5 linked regions of the Canis lupus familiaris genome follow. The protein of the gene in region 3 interacts with the protein of the main gene of each other region in a pairwise test. Links are inferred from orthologs where the notes say so. Each region holds a gene or a part of one and is shown on either strand. Other genes may lie near its edges.

What was found.
Region 1: the proteins of MAD1L1 (region 3) and MFAP1 interact in binary tests that used the Homo sapiens proteins (3 or more experiments, as listed by UniProt). The two-hybrid records come from large-scale screens. The link is inferred for Canis lupus familiaris from reciprocal best matches to the Homo sapiens genes MAD1L1 and MFAP1.
Region 2: the proteins of MAD1L1 (region 3) and BAG5 interact in binary tests that used the Homo sapiens proteins (3 or more experiments, as listed by UniProt). The two-hybrid records come from large-scale screens. The link is inferred for Canis lupus familiaris from reciprocal best matches to the Homo sapiens genes MAD1L1 and BAG5.
Region 4: the proteins of MAD1L1 (region 3) and RNF8 interact in binary tests that used the Homo sapiens proteins (3 or more experiments, as listed by UniProt). The two-hybrid records come from large-scale screens. The link is inferred for Canis lupus familiaris from reciprocal best matches to the Homo sapiens genes MAD1L1 and RNF8.
Region 5: the proteins of MAD1L1 (region 3) and LGALSL interact in binary tests that used the Homo sapiens proteins (3 or more experiments, as listed by UniProt). The two-hybrid records come from large-scale screens. The link is inferred for Canis lupus familiaris from reciprocal best matches to the Homo sapiens genes MAD1L1 and LGALSL.

The regions. Positions count from the first base shown.
Region 1 is NC_049251.1:10,844,028-10,848,111, forward strand, and holds the start of MFAP1 (microfibrillar-associated protein 1), read right to left. Parts: upstream 2,804-4,084; 5' UTR 2,640-2,803; coding exon 2,561-2,639; intron 1-2,560. UniProt on the Homo sapiens protein: Involved in pre-mRNA splicing as a component of the spliceosome.
Region 2 is NC_049229.1:71,725,858-71,729,925, forward strand, and holds the start of BAG5 (BAG family molecular chaperone regulator 5), read right to left. Parts: upstream 2,803-4,068; 5' UTR 2,747-2,802; intron 2,465-2,746; exon of another isoform or gene 2,304-2,464; intron 725-2,303; 5' UTR 697-724; coding exon 1-696. Other genes in the region: COA8 (cytochrome c oxidase assembly factor 8), read left to right, coding at 3,045-3,167. UniProt on the Homo sapiens protein: Co-chaperone for HSP/HSP70 proteins. It functions as a nucleotide-exchange factor promoting the release of ADP from HSP70, thereby activating HSP70-mediated protein refolding.
Region 3 is NC_049227.1:15,032,395-15,036,168, reverse strand, and holds the start of MAD1L1 (mitotic spindle assembly checkpoint protein MAD1), read right to left. Parts: upstream 2,327-3,774; intron 1,064-2,326; 5' UTR 1,051-1,063; coding exon 901-1,050; intron 1-900. Other genes in the region: proline-rich protein 2-like, read left to right, coding at 2,327-3,193. UniProt on the Homo sapiens protein: Component of the spindle-assembly checkpoint that prevents the onset of anaphase until all chromosomes are properly aligned at the metaphase plate.
Region 4 is NC_049233.1:6,590,102-6,593,612, reverse strand, and holds part of RNF8 (E3 ubiquitin-protein ligase RNF8), read right to left. Parts: coding exon 3,381-3,511; intron 1-3,380. UniProt on the Homo sapiens protein: E3 ubiquitin-protein ligase that plays a key role in DNA damage signaling via 2 distinct roles: by mediating the 'Lys-63'-linked ubiquitination of histones H2A and H2AX and promoting the recruitment of DNA repair proteins at double-strand breaks (DSBs) sites, and by catalyzing 'Lys-48'-linked ubiquitination to remove target proteins from DNA damage sites.
Region 5 is NC_049231.1:65,334,957-65,339,105, reverse strand, and holds the start of LGALSL (galectin-related protein), read right to left. Parts: upstream 2,808-4,149; 5' UTR 2,722-2,807; coding exon 2,686-2,721; intron 1,992-2,685; coding exon 1,920-1,991; intron 1,773-1,919; coding exon 1,684-1,772; intron 1,028-1,683; coding exon 850-1,027; intron 1-849. UniProt on the Homo sapiens protein: Does not bind lactose, and may not bind carbohydrates.

The sequences.
Region 1 (4,084 bases), on a different chromosome or scaffold from region 3:
AGGAGGCTATGCATGTGTCAGAGCAGAGGGTATATGGGAAATGTAAACATAAAATTGATATAAAAAAATAAAAGTCTTGGGGTGCCCAGGTGGCTTAGTTGGTCAAGCATCTGCCTTTGGCTCAGGTCATGACCTCTGGGTTCTGGGATGGAGCCCCACATTGAGCTCCCTGCTGGTCACTGCAAGAGAAGCCTGCTTCTCCTTTTTCCTCTGCTCCCTACCCTCCATGTTCTCTTACTCTCATAAATAAATAAATAAATAAATAAATAAATAAAATTTTAATAACAGTAAAGTCTTAAAAAAAAAGAAGGTAGTGAGGTGGAGGAGGGTTTCTATATCAGATTGCAAGGCTTAGTTTAAACTTACAGTGATTAAAACAATATATTAATGACTCCGGGGTATATAGAGACCAATGGAACAGAGTACAGAGCAAACAAACCTTTACACAGGAGCTTGGTATGTTACAGAAGTGACATTAAAAAGCAGTGGAGAATGGATGGGTTAGTCAAACAATGGAATTGTAAGGACAACTGGTTAACCATAAACAAAATTAGATTTCTGACACCACACCCACAAAAAATTCCACATGGATTAAGGACCCACGTGTGAAAAAAAAATCTTAAAACACTTACATCCTTCCTAGATTACAAGTTCCTTAAATTAGAATCTGTCTTGCGCAATTTTGTATTCAATCGTATTTAGGATATAGAAACACTGAGAAAATATTTATAATTGATCTCAGTATAGGGAAGGATTTCTTAACACAATATACAAAACAACACAAGAGGGACGCCTGGGTGGCTCAGTGGTTGAGCGTCTGCCTTTGGCCCAGGGCGTGATCCTGGAGACCCGGGATCGAGACCCACATCAGGCTCCCTACATGGAGCCTGCTTCTCCCTCTGCCTGTGTCTGTCTCTGCCTCTCTCTCTCTGTGTCTCTCATGAATAAATAAATAAAATCTTAAAAAAAAAAAAAAACACAAGCTATAAAAGATAAAATTGATAAATCCAAAAACACTAAAATTAAAAAGGCCTATGAAACAGAAAACTCCACAATTAAAGTGAAAAGACAAGACAAAGAACCAAAACAAAATAGGAAAAAGATATGAGAGATCTGGGATGTAGAAAAACTGTAGAAAATGGATAAATGACAGAAACAGCTAATTCTGAGAACACCTAGATAGCTGACAAATGCTTAGTCTCACTAGTAATCAGGGAAATGCAAATTAAAATAATGAGATATTTCATAATTCGATTGGACAAAATTTAAAAATCTGATACAACTAAGTGTGTGGATGAATATATGGGTAAATACAAACTCCTAATGCTCTTACAACCCACTGTGGAGAGCAACTGGAAATAGCTAGTTAGGTTGATGATGAACTTTTAGGAGTCTACCCTAGAGAAATTCTTACACAGTGCACTAAAGAGGCACATTTAAGAATGACAACTACAACAGGTGCCTGGTTAGCTCAGTTGGTGGAGCACATGACTCTTGATCTTGGGGTCATGAGTTTGATCCCCAAGGTGGGTGTCAAGATTACTTTAAAAAAAAAAAAAGGCCAATTACAGCACTGTTTATAATAGAAAAAACAACACAACTGTCCCCCAGGAAGGAATAAACTGGTTCATTTATACAATGGAATTTATAAGTAGTTGAATGAATTAGCTCTTTATATATCAAAGGATATTTCTCAAAAGCCACCTTGAATTTTAAAAAAAGGCAAGTTGCACAAGATTATGTACTGTTATGTTTAAAAAATAAAAAAAGAGCTCATATTATTTTCCAAAATCCTTCCTGAAAAAAAGGGACTCTTTAGTCTAACCCCTTCCAAACATGTTCCTTCTATCTGCACTGGAATTCTATTGATCCTTTAAGGATCGGTTTATATGCCATGTTCTTCAAGAAGCTTTCCTAGATTACCTCAATCTGAAAAGATCATTCCTTCTCTACACTTCCATATCGTTTGGTTTATATCACCTATGTGACAGGAATCACACTGCTTAGAATGTCTCTTTTTGCAGGTCTCACACCTACAAAATGAGTTTCTTTAGGTTAATTAAGGGCACTGCCTCACACAAGTGTGTATTCAACTTCATACAGTCACAGCGTTGGTTGAAAGGAATAAAAAGTTTAATAAGACACGGTTCCTGTCTCAAGGACGTTTGAGTTTATGATGCAGTAGAGGGAGACAGACACAGAAGAGTTACAGAAGCGGCACAGACTGCTACGGAAAACAAAAGAGGGACCGTATTCCGCACAACGCCTTGCAAAAGCAGGCATTTACTGTGTATACAGTCTAACTTAACAGTGGAGGCCAAAGGACGAGGGATGCTTGCTGTGAGAGCAGCCGCCGGGCGATATGGACAAGATGAGATGGAAGTGGGTATTTTCCCCCTTAGGCAACGCGACCGGGTGCGAGTTTGATGGGAAAAGTCGAGGATATTTGGGGGCAGCGTCTTAAGGGTCGGTAGGGTTGGGGTGGTCTGTTGCGGTAGGTTTGCAGTACGCTGGGAAAGGAAGAGGTAAAATCCGACTGGAAACCGGCTCAGCACCGTACCTTTCTCATTGCGAACCGGGACGGCCCCTGCCGTAGACTGAATGGGCGGTTGTTTCATGAGTGCGCTTGGGACCGACATGTTGATGGCAGCCGCAGCGATTCCCGAAACTTCAGTGATTCCAAACAGTGAACCGCAACAACGTCAACGACAAAAAAAAACCTCCTCTGGAAGCACTGGGCACGACCGCGCAACAGATAGAAACACCACCTACGTCTGAGATAGAAAAACCGGAAATATGCGACCAGAGGATTGTGGGATTGTGGGCGTGGACGCTGCTACTGCGCATGTTCCTCGGCTGCTCTAGCTTCCTCCGTCTCGCAGAGTTTGGACGTCGCTTCTGGCGGGAAATTGCTTCCCGTTGGCCTTTGCTGTTAAGATCCTGTGGCGAGGCAGGTCCGAATTACGGGTTTCTTTTGTTAGCTTTGTGTGAAGCTGAGGAAAATGAGATAGTGATGAATAAGGAATTGAGTGGATAGAGAAAGGCAGTTTGTCCAGACTCTTGAAAGCTCAGAATTGGAGTTTAATGAGAAGAGAAGTCCTGATAATAGCCCCTGATTAGCTCAGTTGATGAGGCTGAGTGGGTTGTGGTGAGGTATTTTTTTTCCTCACGTGAGGGCAGGTGTTGATGATTTACGCTATTGCCATGAAAAAAAGAAAAAAATCCCGTAAGGTGCCTGAAACAATGAATGCTTGGAGTCAGAACGGTGTGCTTTTAGGCTTTCCAGTTTTTTTCAGTTTCTCAACACCGTCTATTAAAACATTCCTGTGTAGACATGACTTTTTACATAAGTACATGAGTAATTATTAAGTACTTGCTGAGTTTGCTGTGCTTAGCTCTTTAAGGAGTATAGAATATTGCTTAAAGGCTTGAATTTTATTTAGGAAGTCTTCTAGGGCAATCAATTTACTAGCTGGATTTGTAAAAAAAAAAAAAATATATATATATATATATATATATATATATATTGGTTTATTGGAAGTCAGAAAGCATTTCACCACAGAAAGGATTTCCTAAGTGTTGTGATAGGGAGAGTTGGGGCAGCATGAACAAAGTCTTGAGGTCTACAAATAGCGCGGCATGTATCAAACACTGAAAAGTTTGATTTTGTTTGATTTTTGAGTCAAGGAGTGGTGAAAGTTTGGTGAGAACCAGATCATGGAGGGCCCTGATGTTACTGTTAATAGGATTAGTTCTCAAATCATTTCACCTATGTTGTAAAATTGGGTCTAGACTGGGAAAGAAAAGAAAATGGGGCAAGTCTTGAGCAAGGAACAGTGAAGGATCCATGTAACTGACCAAGGAAGCAGTTATGGGGTAGAAAGAAAAGGGTCTTAAAAATAGACTAGGTAGAAATTTATATTTTGAATTTAACAGCTCCAAAACCATGCTGTCCAGATGGAGTAAATATGAGAAAACGATTGTTTTGACTCACAGCAACTCAAAGAATAGGAAAAAAAAAAGTTAAATATGGCTGTGACTGTAAGAAATACAGGACACTAAAATCTTATTTGTTACTTTGTGA
Region 2 (4,068 bases), on a different chromosome or scaffold from region 3:
CACGTCTAGAGCATCCAGATCTGCAATCAGCCCCGACAGCACACAAGATAAGTGCCTGCAAGTCTCATTATTGTTCACCCCCATCAGAAGTGCGATCAGAGTGCCTCTGGCCTTGTTCACCTCACACATCACCGAGTTGATCTTGGCCACTGAAGGGTGCGCGTCCTCGGAAAGTGGCAGAGAAGGCTGCTTTTTCACACAGTCTTCGATGATCTCCTGCACCGCACAGATTTTGGTTAAGGTGTGGTACCGTGCTTTCCGCAGAGAAATCTTCCCCCCGGTTTTGACATGTGTCAGCCTCAGAATGATATCCTGGATGCCTTCTTCAAATTCGTCAGTTACACAGTTGCCCCCACTATAAAACGGCACAATCTTCTCTTTCACCAGGGCCTGGGCTTCTTTAAAGATGTTCTGTATTTCGATCCGGTGTGGGTGGTTTGCATTCTGCTCCAGCTCTTTGAGAAGACGCTCCGTCTCCTGGGCTGCCCTCTTCCTCGCTTGCTGAATATCTCCTTTTCCTTCAGTATCCACAGAGTCTATTTCAAAGAGTTGTTTTGTTAGAATCCTCTCCAGTTTCTTGTAATTCTTGTCATCTGACAGACCACTGAAGCCAATTACTTGCTGTTCTATACTTTTTACTTCCTTTTGGATTTCCTGAAGCCTACTAATAGAAGGATGTTGGTTGCCCATATCCATACTTTTGTTGTGTTCCGTTTTACAAGCACTAAAAAATGACAAGAATGCCAAATTACACAAAGACTCTACAGACAGGTAAGCAAATATTGATTCATTCCGAAATTCTCATTTTAAGAAGAGGTATTTGAGGGACGCCCGGGTGACTGAGTGGTTTAGCACCGCCTTCAGCTCAGGGGGTGATCCCAGGGTCCTGGGATCGAGTCCCACATTGGGCTCCCTCCATGGAGCCTGCTTCTCCCTCTGCCTGTGTCTCTGCCTCTCTCTGGTGTCTCTTGTGAATAAATAAAATCTTAAAACAAAACAAAAACGGGCAGCCCCAAAGGTGCAGCAGTTTAGTGCTGCCTACAGCCCGGGGTGTGATCCTCGAGTCCTGGGATTGAGTCCCACATTGGGCTTCCTGAATGGAGCCTGCTTCTCCCTCTGCCTGTGTCTCTGCCCCCCTCTCTCTCTGTGTCTCTCACGAATAAATAAATATTAAATAAAATAAATTTTAAAAAAAGATGCATTTGAGTTTAGATCACACTAAGGCCCATCCTTAGTGTGATCTAAACAGCAGTCATACTCAAGTATGGAAAGAGTAATCCACTTTCTTGAAGATCACCTACACACCCCTGTGATTAGGAATGGACAGGGGTGGGATCCCTGGGTGGCGCAGCGGTTTGGCGCCTGCCTTTGGCCCAGGGCGCGATCCTGGAGACCCGGGATCAAATCCCACGTCGGGCTCCCGGTGAATGGAGCCTGCTTCTCCCTCTGCCTGTGTCTCTGCCTCTCTCTCTCTCTCTCTCTGTGGGACTATCATAAATAAATAGAAATTAAAAAAAAAAAAGGAATGGACAGGGGTTACTGCAGTGCAGAACGAGCTGGAGCCCTGGGCCTGATTTCCCAACTTCTTCGCCTGGGTCTCTACACGTGTGGCACGAGGTCAACTACTGGGGTGGAAACAGCACAAGGATCTCAGGTATTAACGCTGGACCCTGGTTGTTGGCAACAGCAGGGCACCCCTGTGGAACGTGCAACAGTTGCTCTTTTGACCTTCAAACGCTAACAGTGCCATCCCAGCACCCACCTGGCCCGAGAGCTATGCCTGCTTTCAAAACAAACTGGAGGGCACCCGGGGGCTCAGCAGTTTAGCATCTGCCTCGGCCCAGGGCGTGACCCTGGAGACCCGGGGTCCAGTCCCGCATCGGGCTCCCTGCGTGGAGCCTGCTTCTCCCTCCCTCTCTCTGTATCTCTCATGAATAGATGAATAAAATCTTAAAAAAAAAAAAAAAATAGAAAAAACAGAACAAAACCCGGAAGTCTAAGTGAAACAAACAGCAGCGGATCCCAGCGACCCCCAGGCCCCGCTTCTACTTCCTCCCCGCCGCTCGGGGCTCCTCCCCGGCCACCCTGTTTCCCCCGCCCCTCCGAGGACGTCGAAGACCCTCCGCGCGGAGGCGAAGATCCCCCAGGAAGGGAAGGTGACCGGCACCGTGTTAAAGGCACCAGCTTGGCCTCCGGAGGGCTGGTGCCTCCCTAGGCCCGTCGGCCCGCTCTCGGGGGAGGGAGGGCGGGCGGCCGGCGGGGCCCCGGCCTCCCCCCCTCGCCCTCCCCTGCCAGCACTTTACCCAGAGGAGGTCTACGCTGGTCTGGTCCTGGCTGCCCGCGGGGAGCTGGCGAGGTGGCAGGTCAGCCCTTTACGGGGTGCGGCACCGGAGCGGGGCCCCAGCTGCATCCCTCTCACCCCTGCCGGCTGGGTGTGCCCGGGCGGCCGGTGAGGGGGCCGGCGGTGGCGCGGCAGCTACTGGCCGCAGCCGCCGCTCCGGGCGTGTCGCCCGGGCCCCCGACGCGCCCGCCGGCCCTGACCTCACAATGGCCCGCGCGGGAGGGGGCGGCCGCGCTCGCAGGGCCTCCGAGCCCCCCGGGGAGCCGGGCCGCGTCGGACGCGGGCGGGGAGCGGCGCGGAGGCCGAGGCCCAGGCCCGGCGGGAGCGGGCGCGGGCGCGGGGGGCGGGGGGCGGGGGGCGCGCACGGGGAGGCCCGCGGCCCGCCAGCCGCCTAGCTGCGCTCACCTGTGCCGCCCGCGCCATCGCGCGCCCCGCCGCCGACGCGCAGGACTCCGCCGCGGTCGCCGTCGCCCGCCCCGCGGCCCCGCCCCGGGCCGAACAGCCCCCGCCCTGGGAAAACGTCCTGCGGCGCGCGCCGCCACCACCGCCCGGCACGGCAGCCCGGAGCTGGCCGCGGAGCCGCGGGGAAAGCGCACGGTCGGCCGCGCCGCTCGCTCCCGCTGGCTTTGCGACCGTGCCGTAAGGCAGCCCCTCGCGCCGGCGCGGCTCTGCCGTGCGTCGCGGCAGCCGGGGGACGCTGGGCATGGTGGGCTTCCGGGCCTCGAGGAGGGCGCTTCTGCCGCCGCTGTGCCGCGCCTTTGCTCGCCCCGGCTGTCCGCTCGGCCCCGAGCGCGGCGCGGAGCGCAGGGAGGCGGCGGCGAGCCGGGTAAGCTGGGGGTCCTGCAGGCGGCGCGCCGGGCTCCGCGCCCCGTCGAGGCCGGCCGCGGCGTCCGCCCAGCTCCCGGGCCGCGGGGGGGGGGGGGGGGGGGCCTCGGAGCCCGCGGCTGTGCTGGGGCCGCCGCGCCGGGGACTTCCCGAGCGGGGGCCTTGGGCTGCAGCGCTTGGCGCGCACGCGGGGTCTCGGCCCGCGCCGTGGCTCCGGGCGCTCTTCCGCCAGCGACCGCGCCCCCGAGCCTCGTGTCTTGCAGGGCCGCCGGGGCGTAGCTCTGGTTTGGAGAACTGCGCGCATAGGTGCGAGGCGCGGGTGGAAGGTTAGCGGGGGTACCTGTAGCAACGAAGAAGGACCGTTTTTAGGAATTGCACTTCTTAGGGGAAGGGTGTTTCGTCCACGGAGTGCCAGCTGTCACGTGGAAGCGTGGGGCTGCAGACGAAATATTTAAACGAAGCCTACGCACACAAACACGGAATTTGCCAACAGGCTAAGGGTGGAGGCTGGAAAGCCTGGGGTAAAAAAGCAGGACTTCCAAAATGTGCCTGCCTGTAAGTTTTCGTCTATGTTAGTCTTTTGCTGTTAGCATGCTTTTTATAAATGTAGTTTTGAAGTTCTGTTCAGTTTATAGTTTATTTTTATTTTTTTTTTTTAAGATTGTATTCATTTATTCATGAGACCCAGAGGGAGAGGCAGAGACACAGGCAGAGGGAGAAGCAGGCTCCATGCAGGGAGCCCGACGCGGGATCGATCCCAGGTCTCCAGGTCACGCCCCGGGCTGAAGGCAGGTGCTTAACGGCTGAGCCACCCCGGGCTGCCCTCTGTTTAGTTTATAGTTTGGACAAGAAGTTGGCGGGGCAGCTGGTCAACCCCCCCTCCCCGCCCCCACCTCTGGCCT
Region 3 (3,774 bases):
CAAAGTTGCCAACTTATTTTACCAGTGAGCAAGAATCAAAAACAAAACAAAAACAAAAACAAACAAAAACCACCATCATTTCCAAAAAAGTGCTTTAGGCAAAACACAAACATTAAAAAAACAATTTCAGAATAAAAGTCTTTGCCAAAAAATGGTAGTGAGCAACTCAGCCCACTAAAAAAACAAAAAATATTTGAACATTCAGCAAATGAATGCATAAAAACACAGGAGCATTTCTCTTACCAAATGTTGCCTGGGGCTCCTCAGGGCTCCCAGGGCCACATGACACCACTGGCTCTGTCACAGGCCATTACCAAAGACTGGCTCCAGCTGCACAAGCAGGGGACTGCTGCCTGATGTGGCGGCAGTGCACAGTGGCAGGGGCCAGGCTGCAGACAGCACCTCCTCCTCACATGGACCCAGTGACCCCTGCCCCCATGAGACTGACCCTACAACTCTGTGGAACCTCAAGTCCTCCAGGAGACCTTCATGGTCAATAGTAAGCGTTTCTAAGAACGTGAAATGAGGGACTCCTGGGTGGCTCAGTGGTTGAGTGCCTGCCTTCAGCTCAGTTCGTGATCCCGGAGTCCTGAGATCGAGTCCCACATCTCCCTCTGCCTATGTCTCTGCCTCTCTCGTGAATAAATACTTAAAAGAAAAAAAAGTGAAATGAAGTAAGACTTCTTATAGGAAAACTGTAAAAGCCACATCATGGCAGACTGAGGCCAAAATCTGCAAATGGGTCCCCAAAATCAGAGACCATGACACACCCAATCTTTCTCTTTACCTGGAGAGCCCTCCGCACACAGAGCACTCACCTGGACTACTTGCAACTGGAAAAGGAACTGTCAAGGGCACACATGTTCCACCCGAGACCCCTTCACGCTACACGGCACTCACCTGCATGCTCTGTTGGTACTGCATCTGCAGAGAACCTTGGGCAGGGGTGGAAGCATCCAGTCCAGATCCTGCCTCCACCCGCTGGGAAATGAAGTTGTTCAGAGACCTCAGGGTGGACAGCACAGTGGTGTTTTCCATCAGGTCATCCATGGCCACTTTGCTTCTGGAGGAAAACAGGGAGGGGTGACGGTGAGCCTTTGCAGGCACCATTAGCTCTACCAGAGGTCTAGGCAGGGGCACTTCTGGGTGGCCCCACTCTCCCAATGCTCCCTCAGAATCCTGACAATACTCCAGTGTCACAGCCACATTTTTGAAGTTAATTGGCAGTGTGGACTCATCTGGAAAGTACGGTCACGAGGGTCACTTTGCACAGTTGTTGTGAGGATGACAGCATCCATCATAAGTTGGATGGGGGGGTGCCTGGTGCCATAGTTCATCACTCTGCCTATAACATCACACAGGACATCTCAGGCCACACAACAGGAGATGAGGTCTTTCTACACATATTTCACACACCATGAAAGCGAGGCTTCAGAAAGTTACAGAACAGGCCAGAAGCCAGATCTGTGTGGCTCTAAAGTCCGGTGTGCTCCATAAGCCAGGGCACAGAGGGCAGAGCACAAGCACCCCCCGGGCATTGGTTAGGCATCTGCCTTCTGCTCAGGTCTTGATCCCAGGGTTCTGGAATGGAGCCTTGCAGGGTGGGCTCCCTCCTCAGCGGGGAGTCTGCTTCTCCCTCTGCCCCTCCCTGCCTTGTCCTCTCTCTCTTGCTCTCTAATAAATAATTAAAATATTTTTAAAAAAAGAAAAGAAAAGAAAAGAAAACCAACTCCAAACCTGCATCCCCAAACCTGTGCTGACGGTGGCCTCACACCTGCCAACCAGTGTGTAGGAAGCATCTCAGGTGCAGTTAACAAGCAAAGGCACCTCTTAGGTAAAAGGCCAGCTCACCGGGACTTCTCTGAGCGTTAGATTGAAAACACCTCCCCACGTTCCCCCCAGAGGAGGAAAGAAAGTGAGGAATCTTAGTTTGACTCTGAATTTCCGTTTGGGGAGAACCTTGGCCCTATGCACACAGAGCCCTCCTCTGTAGGCCATGTTTTCACCCCAGACAACACAGCTGTCCTCTCGACCTCGCAATCACACTGCATGTGGAAACCTGGAGTAGAAGGCGGAACAGGACATGCAAGCACAGAGTGCTGAGGGCCGCGGCAGATGCAGGCCCGAGCTGCACTGGACAGCAGAGGTCCACTCTAGAAAGCAAACCCTTCCGAACGGGGCCATACTCTCCGACCGGTGATGGGAAGTCAAGCTGGGAAGTCCTGGTCCGGAGAGGCGCCCCTGTAAGAGCTGATGCGTGTAACTCCCCCCGGAACGAAGAGCGCACACGCTTTCAACCGCCTGGAACTAAGGCGCTGCACTGGGGATGCGCTTAGGCAGTCCTCAAACTCCGTCCTCTTTACCCGAGAGACTCCAATCCTCAACCCAACCGCGGAAACCCAAGCGCTGCAAATCACACCCCTGGGCTGCCCTTCCTGGCCTGGGCACTACTCGGGGCGGGGGGGCCCTGCCGCCCCGCTGCAAACCCCGGCTCCCAGGCGGCTCTGCCGGACCCCAGGCGCCCGGTGGGGTCTGCCCGGTCCCGCCCCACGGCCCCGCTCTGACCCCGCTCCGACCCGGGCCACGCTACGACCCCTGGCCCCCTATGACCCCGCTCGGACCTCGACCTCGACCTCGACCTCGACCCCGGCCCCGCCCTGACCCCGCTCCGACCCCCGCTCCGACCCCCGCTCCGACCCCGCTCCGCACCGCCGCCGCCGAAGCCGGCTCGAGCTCCGGTCTGGATCCGAGGGAACGAGCACGGCGGGGAGAGACCAGCGGGCAGGGGGCCGGGCCCGCCTCGGATATCCGCCCACCGGCGACCCCGGCGCCCGGCCACTCACCTCAGCCCCAGCCCCGGCAGCTCGCCGCCGCTGCCGCTCAGATCTCCCTCCTCGGCGTCCGAGCCCGCGTATCGCGAGACGTGCCGCCGCGCTCTCGCGAGACCTGGGCGGCCGACCGTGAAGCCCCGGGCCCGAGCGCCGCCCGGGTCCTGCAGCTCCGCGTGCGCCCCAGAGCCGCCCGCCCCGGGACACCGCACTCGGACTCTCACCAGAGGCCGGCCCGCGGGTCTGTGGGGGGGCCCGCCTCCCGCAACGGGACGGACCTCCACTGGGGCAGTCGCTCGCGCTGTATTGTGCGGAGTAGCACCGCCCAACGGTGGCCTCCTCGGGCCAAACTTTCCTGTTCTTGACAACTCCCAAAATTCTACTACAGCGTGTGTTAGCTTGAATTAGTACGTCTTTCCTTTCCTCGGGATCACTGGAAAAGCAAAATACTCGGCTATCCTCCCAGGGCCCCGTGAGCTCAGACGGCCTGAGACCCTCATCCAGTAACGGGGCTCTCACTCCCTTCCGAACCTCCTCCTCCCTGAACCCCCGCGCCCCGCCTGAGCAGTCGGTCTGGAGGGTCTGCACTGTGCCCCGAAGGTTTGCACACACTGCCCCCCACTCAGGGTCTGGAGGGCCTGCACACACCACCCACCCAGTCTGCAGGGTCTGCACATACACCCACACCCGGAGTCTGGAGGGCCTGCATATACGCACACCCAAGGGTCTACAGGGTCTGCACATAGGCCCACACCCAGAGTCTGGAGGGCCTGCATATATGCACACCCAAGGGTCTGGAGGGTCTGCACACACCACCCACCCACAGCCTAGAGGGTCTGTGCACAACACTCACCCACAGTCTGGAGGGTCTGCACATATCCCTCCTCCCAGGGTCTGAAGGCCCTTCCCCACGTCAACCACCCACCTCGGGTCTGGAGGGTCTGTG
Region 4 (3,511 bases), on a different chromosome or scaffold from region 3:
AGTGATTGACAATATCTCCTGTCCTGTGTCTGGATCACACTCCTCACAGCCTAGAGGAAACTGGCAAGAGCCACAGGCCCTGGAGTCTGACCTAAGTCTATCTTCCTAGAGACCCTGAGCCTCTGGAGGGGCCTCTGTGTCACAGATTCATGGAAAGCTGCGTCTCATAAACCTTCCTCCCAACCTTGGCATACTTGAAGGCCACAGCACTCTCCCACGAGTAGCCTTGGTTTGATGTAACAGTATCAAGGGAGCTGGGGATTGTAGTTTGAAAAAGACCCTAGACTGAAAATCACTATTCTAAAGGACCAACAAGATTTTATTTTTAGATAATTTGCTTTCTTCTTTTCTGAACACAACCCAAAGAAACTGCTAGGGAAAGCTAAAAGTGAGAATGTTAACACTCTGTCAACCACCCAACATTTAATGAGAACAGAACAAATGGAAGAGGGGGAGTAGCTGACAGAAGACTGCTCTAGTACCTCAGCAGCTCCAGAGGGAGATCCTCTACAGAGAATGTCAGAAAATGTCTTCCCCTCAAAAAATCTCATGTCAATATCCTAGAGAGCCACAATTATTCATGTGACAAGCACTTACTAATGTTTCTTATCTGCCCCAGCGCCAGAGCATCATTTCTCTAACACAGGATCTAGTATGTGAGCATTCTTTTCCTCTCCTCTGTAAAATCTGGCCTCACAGAGTTTACAAGGGATCAGTGGCTCATCAGTCTCGAGGCTTCACTCCTCCCACAGGAATACAGAACTAGAAGACGTTGTTGTCTCCTCTCTCCAGCCAGGGAGGCCTGGAGTGGGGCTGTTCTTGGTGGAATCAGCACCACAGACAGGCAGGTCTCCTCCCTGAATGTGTGATAAGAGCAACTCCTGTCCAGGAGGAAAACAGCCCTGCCACAGCATCCAAACTCTGACAATTATAGGCCTGCCAATCCTGGTTCCCAGACCCTAAGTTTGGTCCTTTTTAAAATTCCCATGCACTGGGGATTAAAGTAGCTTTCAACTGGCAAAGAAGGTTGGTATTTGAACTGAGAATTTTCTCTAAACCCCACACTGCAGACCAGTGAAGCTGCTTGCTGATGGCTCTGGCACGTGTTTCCCTAAATGAGGACTCAGAATCCCTGTCTCTGGAGAACACCCCAGAGCTGAACTTGCTGTGATAACCACGGAAACAGAGGCCAGTGCCAGGACCCCTCCAGGCCAGGGAGTTCAGCACACAGGCTCCAAGGATTACCAAAAAAGGCAGAGAGGCACCCTCTTTAGCCTTTGGAGGGAAAAATGGGATCTGACGTTATTTACTCTGCAGAATTAACTCTGTGTGAGGGGAGCCGGAGGTGAACTTAGGACACGGGTCTGCTTCCTTTTCCAGTGCTGCACAAAGCCATCTACCATGCTTGCACATAGGAGAAGAAACCCAGTCAGTGGGCTGGGTGAAGAAAGTACATGGGTGTCCAAAGGAGACAGAGACCTAGCACACTCCAGCTCAAACGGTGGCCTTGGTTAAATCGGGCCCCAAGTCACTGCTCCTCTCAGAAGGCATTCATGACACCTCAGCTAACAATTCCTAAGCTGTGGCTATCTTCACGCTGCTCTGGCACCACGCAGACATTTTGTCATGTATGGGCCACTGCTATGAACACATCACTGCTTCTCATGCCTCTGTGCTTTGTTTGTGCTGAAGCCTCTACTTGGAAAGCTCCACCCCTGGGAACCTTTAAGACTCAGTTTGAATGACGCTTCTTCCATGAAGCTTCCTACCTACCGTACCTCTGCCTGCCCAGGCCAAACTGACTGTCTGCTCTTCTACAGTGTCCTAAGATCCTGGTGTGGAACTTGTCACACTATCTACTTGCCTTTTTCCCTTCTCCACAGACTGAGAGCTGTGGGAGTTGAAATAGTGCCTTATGTATCTCTTCATCCCTGTGTGGAGCATTTCTATAAATGCTGATGGAGTGAGAAGTGAGAGGAAGAGCAATGGGACTCTGCCAGAATCAAGGGACTCCTGAGAGGTAAAAGATCTGGGAGGGTTCAAACTGGCCACAAAATCTATAAGCAACAGCTGTCAGAAAAGTGAAAAACATTTTGGTAGAAGTAGAACAGGTTCAAGCACACTTCTTGCTTAGCACCTGTTTCCCCTGGCTCTGCAACAGGGTTGCTACTTCTGCTCTGGCTGACTAGCCGAGGGCCAGTTTCACACTACAGCGCTTGCACATTAGCATCACATTCCTCGTCCCACTCAAAGTAGCTGACATCCATTGAAGGGCTAGGAAGCAGTGGACAGAAGATCTACTACTAGCAGTGTGGCTTTTAGGCCTTCAGTTTCTCTAGACTTAGAGAAAGGTACATTCAAAGCCACATACAAATATGGGCTACCAATGGTCAGGCAGTGGGAAGCACCTGTAAGGGCAGTGAGCTTCTGGGCTGAACATCTTCTCTGTTTGGCATTTATGTGTAGCCAACTGACATCATAGCACTTTGGCTTTGATGCTTTCCCAGGAGGTAGTGCTGTACTCAACTATTTGGGACTGAGCATTATAATCAGATCTACCCTGCTTCTGTGCATTCTCATCCCTGGCTAATAACCAATCCTTCCTCCTAGCCATTACTTTATTTGTGCCTTGCCCCAGGACACATCTTTTGCCACAAGGACATTCAAGTCTGGGGGCAGGGAGGTGGGGGAGGCGGTGGCTCTGCAACCCTCTACACAGCAAGATCCAAGGGTGATGAGATCACTTGGTTGAATAAGTGGATATTCACCATAGAAACATGATTTATTAGGGGAATACACCCACACATTCCCCAATCTCTTCATCCAAATTCTCCTCAACCAGCAGACTAATTGGTAAACATATCAGGATCCCCAAAGATTAGATTTAGCTCTCTCGTTTAACATTATGTCCAATTTGTGTAATTAAGCTATGACTTCCTATAAAACTTTTATATGTGTTCTCATCAAGTATTTTCCAATTTGTCAATCTCTGACTTGTTCATCTCTTATTGATAACTGATTGTGTACCCAGCCCAAGGTTTTTGCCAACACCTGGAGAGCAACTAAACTGTTTTGCACAACAGCACCATCTAGTGGTCAGTCTAACAAACTGTGTGACCTTGTGTTTTCTACCCACATCCATACCCAAGGTACATACACACTTTATAAGTCTCTCCCTTCCCTGCATGTTCAAATATGCAAATCCATTCTCTCTCAATTCTTTCTCACATGTTCATTACCTTTAACTCTCTTTACTTTTCCCATTTCTTACTCCTCTTCTTTAGCTTAAGAATCATTCATCTGACTCTTCCCCAACGAAAAAAAATCTTAAGTTTGTCAGTCTTCTGTTGAGGGGACTCACCTTGTTCATACCCACTCACCTTTTCGTTCCCTAATGAGGACAATTCGTCGGTCTTTCACTTCTGAGCTCAGATTATCTACCATCTTATTAATGCAATTGTCCAGAACCAGGGAGTGGGTTTTGGACTTGATGTCCTTCCGACAAATGGGG
Region 5 (4,149 bases), on a different chromosome or scaffold from region 3:
GAAGAGCAACAACGGGTTAAGGGTCGCTGTGCTTTATTAGACGCATATGCGACATGGAGCTTTTAACTGAGCTGTGATCATTGTGACATATGTTAACAAGGTGTAATACAGGCTTCATCGCCAGGCCCAACATTTCAGTAAATCCGTTCCTAACACATTACCCACATTATTTGCATCTCTTACTCGGCATTTGTCCTTCACAGAGAAAGATGCTACTAATATTGATCGGCTGGATAGGAAGTTTGGCTTATGCTTCCTGCCCACTAGATGGTGGAGAGCCAAGTTATACCCATCCAGGCCCCAGGGAAGGAATTTGTTAGCCACACAGCCTGTGACAGTAAAACAGACCGAGGTTACTTAACCCAGAGGGAGAAACAAGGACCAGACCTCATTGGCAGAAGTAACAAGAGAAAATGAAAAGATTATTACTGTTATTCTTTAAAAAAGTCACAACTCATAAGGTTTAGAACTCCTTAAAGGTTGAAAAAAAGTGAGGAAAATTCTAGCACTTGTTATTATTTATTAATCAGTTGGGATATTTTGGGACAGGTACAGATTATGTGCCTGGTACTAGGTTGAGTACTACATGGAAAAGTATTTATTCTTAACAATCTGGACACGGGTTTATTATTTAACTGTATTGGCTAAACAGAGCCAAGAGCTACTATGACCTTAGTTTCTATCAGCAAACAGGACTCTTTTGATCTTGTTTCTTTTTTTCACCATCAGGTGACAAATTTCCTAGACATGCAAAAATTCTGGCTGCTTAAAGCTTTCTTGGCAATCGCAGGAGGAACAGAGCATCATCACCCTGCCAGCGGTTAGAGTTGAAGCACTCGAGGTACTTACCCTGAATGGCTGGTCTGGGATGAATGGAAAGTAAGGGATTGCAGACTGTTCTTCACCTCTTTCGCCAGATATACAAGAATTTCTGAGTAACTGCCGGTCTGTGAACACAGCTTTGAGTTCAATGGCCACATCGGCGGGAGGGTCTTCTGAGTCACCGCAGGTCAGGCTGATCGCGAAGCTGAAAAGAAAATCATCTCATTTATTCTGAGTCCACTATCAGCAACCCAGGCTCCCAGAGTTCCTCCTCCTTCTTGGGGTTTGTCTGCTTTGAATGGGCCACTATTCTTTACACAGCAGATTAGACTATGCATGGAGAAAGAGGATTACAATCAAGCCGGGGATTTTAATACCTAAAGGAGGCTCTGGTAACAACTTTGGTGGAGTTGAACATGGCTAACATTAGGGATTTCAGAAAGCCAAAACCACCGACACATGTGTGTCTTAACCCATTTCAGAATTCTCAAAAAACAGCCCCAGAAATTGACCAGGGGAGATAATATCTTGTAATGTTTGCTTGTCATTTGTACTGATAGATCTCGCTCCAAGCACCATGTTTAAAAACCCTTAAGAAAAAATTGTTTGGCCTCTCTAAGGGTCAAAGAGAAAATGATGTGGGCCTATATTTATCATCTCTGATATAAATAGCTGTCTGGAGAAATGATGGCTGGGATTCATACACATTCTTTTCATGGGAACATGGTACTTTCTTGGCACTTCCAACTAGCAACACTGGCCACAGGGACAGGAGGAGGAGGAGCAATAAGCCACAACAAGAGTGGGCAGGGCCTTGTAACTGCCAGATAATAAGCCTTGGGGTGACAAGGACCATCTTACCTCTCTGGGTTGAGGTCTACGATGCCCATCACCAACACCTTCTTGCCCGGTCTCATGCCACCTTTAATGTGCCCACAAAATGGAACTATCTGCAAAGGATGACAGGAGACACAGGACGTTTACAGCCTGTCCGGCAAGAGCCAAGTCCTCAGATCCCCAGGACCTGACCCGCTAGAAAATGCAATTAGAAAGGAAAAGCGGGCAGGCGGAGAAGAGCACAGAACTCAATCACTTACCAGTCGTGGGAAGTACACGTCGGCTTGAACTGGAGAGCCCAAGGAGTTGTTTAAATGCCCATCATCCAGTTTCTAAAAATAGAAGCACACAGATTGGCTTTCCAAAGGCTCTAGTTGTTGTTTTTTTTTTTTTGGGGGGGGGGGGTGTCGGGAGGAGCAGGGGAGGGAGTGGAGCAGCACCTATACGAATCCGGCTGAATCCAGCAGCCCGCACAGGGCACAGGCAGCGTCTGCAGAAGCCGCCACCTCCCAGCCCCGGGACGAACCCCGTCCTGTCCCCCGAGGCCGGTGGCCGAGCTTCTGCAGCTCCCCAGCCCTGCGGATCTAGACCAAGCTCCAGGTGGAGGCGCGCCGGGCGGGGGGCGGGGGGGGGGGGAGGCCAGGCCCCTCCTCGACCGCAGACGCGCCCAGGCCCGGCCTGCAGGACGCCGCGGGGGTGCCGGGCCGCGCTCAACTTCCTCGGGGCCCCCCACCCCCGGCCCCAGCCGCTCCCCGCGGGGAATCCCCGGGACGCCGGCCGCGGGGCGCGCGCCCCGGGCACACTCACTCACACTCGCGCACACGCACACGTGCCCCGGGCACACACCTGGCCGCCGGCCCGCCCCCCCCGCCCCCCCTCCGCTGCACCCCGGGCGCCCCGCCTGCAGCCCCCCGCCCCCCGCCAACAGGTCCCCGGCGCCTTCCCACGCGGGGGCGCGGGGCTGGGCCTCGGCCTCTCGGGCACGGCCGGGCGGCGGGGCCCCGCTGCACCCTGCCCCGCGCTCACCCCCGCCGCATCGCTGTCGGCCACCGATCCCGCCATCTTCCTGCACCGCGGCGCCCGGGGGTGCGCGGCTGGCGGCGGCGGCGGGGACGTGGGACGCGGCGCGCGGGCGGGATCCCGGGGCGGTGCTGCGCCGCGCGGGGGCGCGGGTCCGAGGCTGGCGGGGCGCGCACACACACGGGGGCGCGCGCGCACGCCTGGGGCCCGGCGCCGGCCGGCGGGCAGGGAGGGCCGGGGGAGGGGAGCGGGGGTGCGGGGGTGCAGGGGAGGTGCAGGGGTGCAGGGGAGGTGCAGGGGGGTGCAGGGAGGTGCAGAGGTGCAGGGGTGCAGGGGAGGTGCAGGGGGGTGCAGGGGAGGTGCAGGGGGTGCAGGGGAGGTGCAGGGGAGGTGCAGGGGGGCGCGCCCGCCGGGTCGCAGGTGGCCGCCGCTGCCCGGGCCCGGCTCCGAGTCGCGGCCGCTTCCTTCCTCGGGTGCTGCTGTCGCCTCCCGAGGGGGGAAGGTGGCGCGGGCCGCGTCGCGCTGGCCCAGGGCGGCATTTAAAGGGAACAGGGCGGGGACCCGGCCGGGCCGCCGCGGCTCGCTCGGCCCGCCCTGCCCCTCGGCCGCCGGGAGGTGGCGGCGGGCGGGGGGGAGGGGCGGGCCCGGCCGTCGGGGGTGCGGCGGGGCGGGGGCCCGGGGCTGTGGGGTGGCAGGTGCCGTGACCCCTTCGCCCCCCGCCGCCGGCCCCTGGTGGGGGGGGGGGGGCTGCCGGAGCGCCCGGTGCCTTTCAGAAGAAGTCCAGCCCGGCGGAGGAGAAGATCCTTTGGGCCTTCTAGGCGGAAAGCTAATGACAGGACTCCAGGCTTGTGGAAATAAATATTTGGCCCGAAAGCAGGAGGCTGAGAGGACTCGTGGTAGGGACTTTTTCAAATGCCAGGGGGCTAGGGGGCCTGGCTCTGTCCCCCGAGTGGAACTGCCCAAGCGCATCCCTAGCGCTGCCCCCAGCCCCTGACACCTGCTGGGTGTGAGGTCATTAATTTCTCGCTGGAAAACTCTTTGTATGGTTTGCGGAGTAATTCCTCGGGTACACCCCTTTTATTCCGAGGCACGAATTCCTCTTTGGCCTTTCCGCACTAGGATGATTACGTAACTTCTCAGATAAAGCTGTATCAACATACCCTCTATTAAGTGACATCTTGGCTTAAACATTCCATTGTGTGAATCACCAGGGTGTTTTACACTAATAAGCAGGGAGCATGTGTGGCGGTCCCAGAGGAGCCCTCGGAGGCTCCCTTCCAGCCAGTGCTGTGGCCTGTGTGGCCTGGAACATCACTGCGGCTTTTGTGTCTTTTGCCCTCCCTTTATGGACCAGAGCTAATCTGGTCATCTCAGTCCAGGAGGGATGATTACCTGCACACGTCTGTATGCACACGCCGGCTCCTTTGTGTGCTCTGAATTAGAGACCCAAGTGCAACACAGTTGTGGTTC